Linked DNA regions of Macaca mulatta. The main gene of each other region encodes a partner of the protein of the gene in region 2 in a complex. Links are inferred from orthologs where the notes say so. Each region holds a gene or a part of one and is shown on either strand. Other genes may lie near its edges. The genes, in order: RAB6A and GCC2.

Region 1 (3,911 bases), on a different chromosome or scaffold from region 2:
CCAGCCGCTTTATGGAATTTTTTTTTTTTTTTTTTTTTTTTTGAGACAGAGTCTTGCTCTTGTTGCCCAGGCTGGAGTGCAGCGGTGTGACTTTGGCTCACTGCAACCTCCGCCTCCCGGGTTCAAGGATTCTCCTGCCTGAGCCTTCCGAGTAGCTGGGATTACAGGCACCCACCATCACACTACGTTAATTTTTTGTATTTTTAGTAGAGATGGGGTTTCATCATGTTGGCCAAGGCTGGTCTGGAACTCTTGACGTCAGGTGATCCACCCAACTCAGCCTTCAAAGTGCTGCGATTACAGGCATGAGCCATCACGCCCGGCTTTTTTTTTTTTTTTTTTTTTTTGAGATGGATTCTCGCTCTGTCGCCAGGCTGGAGTGCCATGGTGCGATCTCGACTCACTGCAACCTCTGCCTCCCGGGTTCAAGGTATTCTCCTGCTTCAGCCTCCCGAGTAGCTGGGGCTACAGGTGCGTGCCACCACGCCCAACTAATTTTTCTATTTTTGGTAGAGACAGGGTTTCACCATGTTGGCCAGGATGTTCTTGATCTCTTGACCTCGTGATCCACTCGCCTCCGCCTCCCAAAGTGCTGGGATTACAGACGTGGGCCACCGCGCCCGGCCTGCTTTACGGATTTTGCAAGTCATTTTCTCTCTCTAGGCTTCAGTTTCCTCATCTGCAAAATTGGGAGGCCCTGATTCTGACAGTTATAAAATTCCTGGGAGCAATGGAAGATAATGTTATTTAGTAAGATGCTGTGAGAGGAATTATGATGAGAGGGTGAAGAAGGTGGGGTGGGTGCACGGGTGAAGAACGGATCTGAGGACTGTGAGGCACGGCTGAGGGCTCAGGAAAGAGGCACCTCTTACAAATTTTAAGGCTATAGGACCACCCACACTTTTTGGGGGATCATATTCCACCTTTATCCCGGCCCCGCCTCCGCCCCACCCTTCTCCCCTCCCCTTCCTTCCCCTCCTGTCCCATAAGACTGAGAAGCGCCACACTTCGTATGGCCGCCACACTGGTCCGCTTTCCACTGCTCTAGGGTTGCGCGCGCTCTCACGCTGCCACCTCACTCGCGTGTCTGCTCGCCCTCGGCCCCTTCCGATTGGCTCATTACGTAAGTGACGTAAGGGCTCCAGCCTCCTCCTAACTTATCCCTGGCTTGCCCCGCCTCCTCCTGGCTTCTTCTGGCGCAAGTGGAAACCTAACCTGCCCCGTCGCCGCCGTGCGGGAGGAGCCAGTAGAGCTGTCCAAACCAGGAAGGCGATAGCTATGGCGGTGGCGCGCACGCACGCACGCACGCCAGCGGCCGGCGGGGCCGCAGGCTCGCGCCCGGGCTCGCCCCGCGCCGCGCCAGAGGCTCGCGCACTCAGCAGGTTGGGCTGCGGCGGCGGCGGCAGCTGTGGAAGCTGAGGCGCTGCGCGTGAGAGGTCCCAGATACGTCTGCGGTTCCGGCTCCGCCACCCTCTGCCTCTCTCCCCCAGGTGTCGGAGTTGAGTGCGGAAGGAGGGAACTGCCCTAGCCTAGGGAAACCAGAGCACACCCCTGGCTCCTGCCGACACCGCCCTCTCCTTCCCAGCCGCGGGCCTCGCTCGGTGCTAGGCTACTCTGCCGGGAGGCGGCGGCGGCTGCCAGTCTGTGGAGAGTCCTGCTGCCCTCCAACCGGGCTCCTCCACCGGGCCTTGCAGGGGCCGAGAGAGCTCGGCGCCCGCCCTTCCGCTCGCCTTTTTCGTCAGCCGTCTGGAGCAGCATCGGTCCGGGAGGTCTCTGGGCTGAGGCGGCGGCAGCTCCTCTAGTTCCACCATGTCCGCGGGCGGAGACTTCGGGAATCCGCTGAGGAAATTCAAGCTGGTGTTCCTGGGGGAGCAAAGCGGTGAGTACGTGGCTCCCCCACTCCTGGCAGCTGGCCCCAGCGTCCCCGCACCGCCCCCGGTGCGGCCCTTCCGTCCGCGGAGGCTCCCAGCCCGCCTAGCGTCCGCGCTCGTTGCCACTGCAGCCCTTCCCGATGTGCCCCCCGGTGCCACTGGCTCTCCGCCTGGATCTGTCGGCCGAGATTTTACCCTGTTCCCCGGGTTCTTCAATCCTTGACTCGCCGTCTCCGTTCCCCGCAGTCCGGCCGTCTCCGGTCGATCTGCCCCCCCTCCTCAGCCCTCACCCCGCCCAGCCTCTTGTCCATCCCTTTCTTCCTCCGGTCTCCGTCGTTTCCCCTACCCCAGTACCCTTTCTTGAGCCCCACCCTTATTCCTTGCTCTTTTCCCAGTTCCTCAGCTCTGTGAGGCCCACTCAGGGAAGCCCTACTCCTGAGAACGGGCCCTCTTCAACCTTGGCCAAGGAGGGTGGGATCTGGGCGTTGTTTTCCCCAGAGGCTTGGCCCTGAGAAGTGCTGATGTCGTCGAAGGTGGGAAGGGGTGGTCGTAGAAAAAATTATTAAATGGTTTTCACCTGGGTGGGAAATTAGTCGGGCCATAGAGGAAACATCTGAATTGGAGACGACTTGAGCATGGGGTGGTTGGGGGTGAAAGGGGTAGCGTCGGCAGTGGAGATTTTTGCCCTTTAGGTTAGATGGGGCTGTGGCTTGTCGGAAAACCTCATTTTGTTCTGTTGACTTCCATCACTGACAATTCTTTTGGCAGTGTTGATGATTTTTCAATCTCTGCCAGATGCTATGTCATGATCATTTTACTTGGAATATTTCTCATCTCACCTACCCTTTTTCTCTTTTCAACATGAAGCAGCGTTTGAGTCTCATGGTGGTACAAACGGGAATTACTGGGGAAATGTTAATTATTCATTTCTTGAGTATTTTCCAATGATATATTGAGGATTCATGTGAGAGAAGGCTTGGAATAACAAACATCTTTGTTTTGTCAAATTTCCTTTGGAAAATGGAGTAGAGTAGAAATAAACTCATCTAGTTATCTAAATTAGATTTAAATACCATTTGGGCTAAATAATTCTTTTATGCTTCATATTCCGTACTATCTGATGAGTGAAATTGTTATGTCATTTACCTGGTCAGGTTCTGCTGTCACTGTACTTCCGTATTAGATACAAGATCCTAATTTTGTGATGGTCGTTTCTACGATTACTTCTTGTAGTAATTTCAGTTTTATGCTGTATTATACAAACTTGACACTCGACAATTCAGGGACGATTACCCTCCTTTGTTTTTCTCACACTTTGCATGACCGTCTTTAAAATTCAGACATTGAGAGACTAGTTCTGAGTCATCAAACATTGAGTACCTACTAGGTGTTTTAGGTGAGGTTATAGAAAACATTAATTGTTTGTTTTGACTAGAAGGCATATAAGTGATATAAACTCATAGCTTTTATTACTACTTTGAACTATTTATACTGATTTGTATGCCATTACAGAGGTTAATACCCTTGCAAAATTGCCTCCCGTTAGAACTGGGAAATCATTTTTCTCCTTTCATATGTAGATTATCTTCCCCTCCTCCCTTTTGAGGGTAAAAATACGATCTCCTTGCTTTTCGCTTACATATTTTCCTGAGGTAAGTATAAACTTGTGTCTTTAGGTGAGTAACTTGGTAGAACCTATGGAGTTGATCCTGGTCCAGCTTTTATATGTCAATTTCAGGATAGTTCCCAAACATAAAATAAAGCTTATTGATCATTATTGGTAAAAAGGATCCAAAGTGCTTATTGTGCATTCTAAGGATATTATTGCCTTTCTTACGTTGTGATGCACAGCTATTTAGTTTGCATGAAAAAACTCATTCATCTCCCTGTCTAAAAATATTTTAGCATGAAAGGAGTGCTTAACTTCCTAAGTATCTTCAGGTTTCCTTTGAATTTCTTGAGTATTTGTATATGTTCTAATTCATAATGGAGAGTTTTATGGCTTCTAATTTCGTACCTTGTTTAAGCCTCTACTACCCT
Region 2 (3,908 bases):
TGTCAAAGACAAAGAGTAGATGTCCACAATAACACTTCTTTTACCTAGTAATAAGCAGCTACCATTTACTGGTTACATACTGTATGCTGCCTCTTCATCCTTTTGACCATTTAAACTACAGGAAACTGAGTTATCTTCAGGTCACCTTAGTTATGGGAGTGTATGGAAAACATGAATGGAAAGGTAAAAGTGTAGCAAACCACTTCAGCAGTTAACAGAAAGGCTCTCAGAGCACTGGACCGCCAATCAGGACACTGCAGCAGCTCTGGGATTCGACCACAGATTCTTCGGCGTGCCCTCGTGCCCCCTATTCTACAGAGTCTCCTCCCACAGCTGCCCAGCTCCCTGGCAGACTATCTTGCCTCTACCACATCACCAGCAGTACTGGGCGGCTACAGGGCAGAGCTGTCCCGGGACCTCCTCACAGCCTCCAGAGTCAAGGAACGCCTCCTCAGGGAAGTCCTCCACCTCATCACTGACCTGTGAGTCACGGAGCTCCCGGGCACCATGCTGGCCACAAATGCCTAAGGAGCCACCCCCGGAAGCAACTGTGGGTCCCGCAGGCACTCGCAGGCTAGTAGACACCTTCGGGGCCTGAGGGACTTGTACTTCAATCCAATGCTCTCCTCACTCTCACAAGATTTTACAGACGTGGAAACCGAGGCCCCAAGGGGTAATCGGCCCGCGTTCCCATGCCAATAACCGGCGGTGGCGGGAACCACACCTACCCTGTGACCCGCAGGCCCAGGGGTCGAGCCCCAGGTAGAACGCCTACACCAACTCCGCCCTCGGCGCGGCGCGGGAAACCTTAACCCGGACACAGAGGCGTAAGCGGAAGTGCTGCCGAGCCGTAGCTATGGAGACGCGGGGGGCGGGCCGCCCGGAGAGCGCGACCTTTGACCTGCAGTCGAGCCTACGTCAGAGGCTGGCGCAAACAGAAGTGCAGCGGTGGCGGCGGCTGGTTGCGGGCCAGCGGCAGGCAGGCGGCGATGGAGGTAACTCAGGTCGGGCCCACTGCCTCCCATCAAGCCTTCCGCGCAGCTACTTGGGATGTGGGGGTGGGCCCGGTGGGAGGGCGCGGAGGGTACCCCGAAGCCCGCTCTGCAGTCGCCTGCCACATCTTCCCTAAACTCCATCCCTGGCGGTTACCTGTCCCCATAGAGCCCGTTTGTATACGATTTGCCACAGCGACCGCCTCCGTCCGCCCTCATTCTCTGTCTCACAAGGCTTTCCACCACTTGATTCCATAGAAGGTTTTTCCCTGTAAAGGTTCCACGCGTTCCGTGTGGGATTAGGAAAAGAGTTCTTCTGACACCTGCGTTTGATTTTGTTTTGCAGGATCCTGTTCAAGATGGGGTGGCTTCACCAGCTACCCCTGGGACCGGGAAATCTAAGGTGAAGAGGATACTTGAATAGCGGGCTCCCTGAAGACTGGAAGGGTGATGAATTGGAAAACTTTGGCATGAAGAAGGGGGGCGCTATATATATATGTATATATACACACACACATATAATTTATTTTTTTAATATCCTTGCTCCAAGGGATCTCAATTTTAGTTGACGCAGTCACCAATCCATTTCCTGTTTCTTTCTCCCCCGCCCACCCCGATATAAAAAGACTTTTTGTTTACTTCCTGCTCCTGGTTAGCACTGCTGGGAGATCCTGCGATTTTTCGAACATGAAACAAAGCAGTCTAATTTAAGAAGGTTTATATAGTGATGTAGTGGAAGGAGCAGTGACATAGGGTAGGGATCAAGGGATTCTGATCTGTGGGCTCCAGTTTTTACATTGTCAAAGCGTTGAATTAGTCCAGTTTTATGGCCTTGTACGGTGTTTAACATTTAATCATGCTAAACGATAGTAGTTTATTGCTAAGGTTTATTGCTTGCATGCTAAATTTCAGGCACTTGCCTAACCACTCAGTTACTTCATTTAAGCTTCATGATAACCGTGAGATAGGTACTGTTGTTGAGAAACCTGAGACCACAGGCTTAAGTAATTTTCTCAAGTGGTAAAGCTTAAACCTGAGACTACAGGCTTAAGTAATTTTTTCAAGTGGTAAAGCTTAATTTTTTAATTAAAGCCTGAATGTCACCTGGTTCATCTTGCTGCTGTAATTATGCTTACATTTTCTTGTGACACTTTCAGCCTTAAATAGAATGAAATACTTTTACAGCTCCAAGCAATTTTAAGTAGCATTAGCTCCAACCCACTAATTTTACAATTAAATCAAAAGCTAGCAATGTCAACCTGTAACATTAGCTATAAGAGGATATGCCCTGGTATTTGCGTTTAATAGTAGTCGCATAACTAATTTTTAGTACTTGCATAGCAATTACAGAGTTGACGTTGCATTTGCTTATTTTAAAAGATGTGGCCGGGCGCGGTGGCTCACGCCTGTAATCCCAACACTTTGGGAGGCCGAGGCGGGTGGATCACCTGAGGTCAGGAGTTTGAGACCAGCCTGGCCAACATGGTGAAACCCCGTTTCTACTCAGACTACAAAAATTAGCCGGGCGTGGTAGCGGGCGCCTGTGATCCCAGCTATTTGGGAGGCTGAGGCAGGAGAATTGCTTGAACCTGGGAGGCAGAGGTTGCAGTGAGCCAAAATGGTGTCATTGCACTCCGGCCTGGGCAATAGAGCGAGACTCTGTCTCAAAAAAAAAAAAAGTGGAACAAAGTATGCTGTTGGCATAAAGATTTATTCTGTAGAATGTTTTTGTTTTCTGGCAGACATTGTTTGTTTTTTGTGGTATACTAGAAACATGAGTTGTAACAAGTTGGTAACATAACCACATCTTTCAGCTGGAAACATTGCCCAAAGAAGACCTCATCAAGTTTGCCAAGAAACAGATGATGCTAATACAGAAAGCTAAGTCAAGGTGTACAGGTATTGGGTTGAAAATACTCATCTTGATCACAGTCTCTTTAATCGTGGTTTAAAATGGTAGTTTTTAAAATAATGCATTGGCTTGTTTTTGTTTTCCAGTGATTCCAAGTACACCTTAGTGTAGTAGAATCTGTTATTTAACATTCTAAAAATTTACCTCTGATTTCTAAATTATTCCCACGTCTTTAAACCACAGTGACTTTTGAGTTGTTAAAGTCAGGGAGGAGGATTTTTAAAGTTTGTGCAAGTTAAGTGTTTTTCCTTCATGTAGACTTTAGATTATTCTGAGTAAAGCGTTTTTTCAAGAGAAGTCAGTTGAAATGTTAGAGACAGAAGATAAGCCCAAAGAGATGGAACGCTTCCTCAATTAAAATAATAAAAGATTTCCATTTATAGACATTAAAGTATATTTATCTGTTGAAGTTGATTGATTCCCTATTCAGTTTTCTTTTTATTCCAGAAGGAAAAAGATCTTAGATCTTTTTCTTAGTATATGTACATGAGCTCTTGAATTTCCAGTGACTTACAAATATTAACTGCTTAGCCTAAAAGCCGAGACTTGTTTTCTATTAGAAAAGATAAAATTATGTCTTGGGAGTTTGGATCACTTTGCAATAAAGAGAATAATTTATTTGGAAAGAAGTTCTAGGCCTGAGATCTAGGCATTCGCTAGTGAAACACTTCGATTAACGTTTCGTTTCTTCTTCTTTTTTTTTTTTTTTTTGAGACAGTGTTGCTCTTGTTGGCTAGGCTGGAGTGCAGGGGCACAATCTCAGCTCACTGCAACCTCCCCTTCCTGGGTTCAAGCGATTCTCCTGCCTCAGCCTGCCAAGTCCTCCCGAGTAACTGGGACTGCAGGCGGCCACCACCATGCCTGGCTAATTTTTGTATTTTTAGTAAAGACAAGATTTCACCATGTTGGCCAGGCCGTTCTCAATAATGTTTATTCTTAATATGCGATTGTGGCTTTTAAGGTTATATGTACTTACAGGTGAAATAATATGATGTCTGGAGTAT

The links.
Region 1: the proteins of GCC2 (region 2) and RAB6A are in contact, whole or in part, in a crystal structure (PDB 3BBP), measured with the Homo sapiens proteins. The link is inferred for Macaca mulatta from reciprocal best matches to the Homo sapiens genes GCC2 and RAB6A. Residues at the interface, in NP_852118.2 of Homo sapiens: Thr1585, Ile1588, Leu1589, Glu1591, Gln1592, Leu1595, Leu1596, Glu1599, Arg1602; in NP_942599.1 of Homo sapiens: Lys15, Ile46, Gly47, Ile48, Trp67, Arg74, Phe75, Ser77, Leu78, Ser81, Tyr82, Asp85.

Annotation. Positions count from the first base shown.
Region 1 is NC_133419.1:74,148,507-74,152,417, reverse strand, and holds the start of RAB6A (ras-related protein Rab-6A), read left to right. Parts: upstream 1-1,407; 5' UTR 1,408-1,809; coding exon 1,810-1,879; exon of another isoform or gene 1,880-2,148; intron 2,149-3,911. UniProt on the Homo sapiens protein: The small GTPases Rab are key regulators of intracellular membrane trafficking, from the formation of transport vesicles to their fusion with membranes.
Region 2 is NC_133418.1:19,016,538-19,020,445, forward strand, and holds the start of GCC2 (GRIP and coiled-coil domain-containing protein 2), read left to right. Parts: upstream 1-920; 5' UTR 921-989; coding exon 990-1,004; intron 1,005-1,338; coding exon 1,339-1,395; exon of another isoform or gene 1,396-1,439; intron 1,440-2,806; coding exon 2,807-2,891; intron 2,892-3,908. UniProt on the Homo sapiens protein: Golgin which probably tethers transport vesicles to the trans-Golgi network (TGN) and regulates vesicular transport between the endosomes and the Golgi.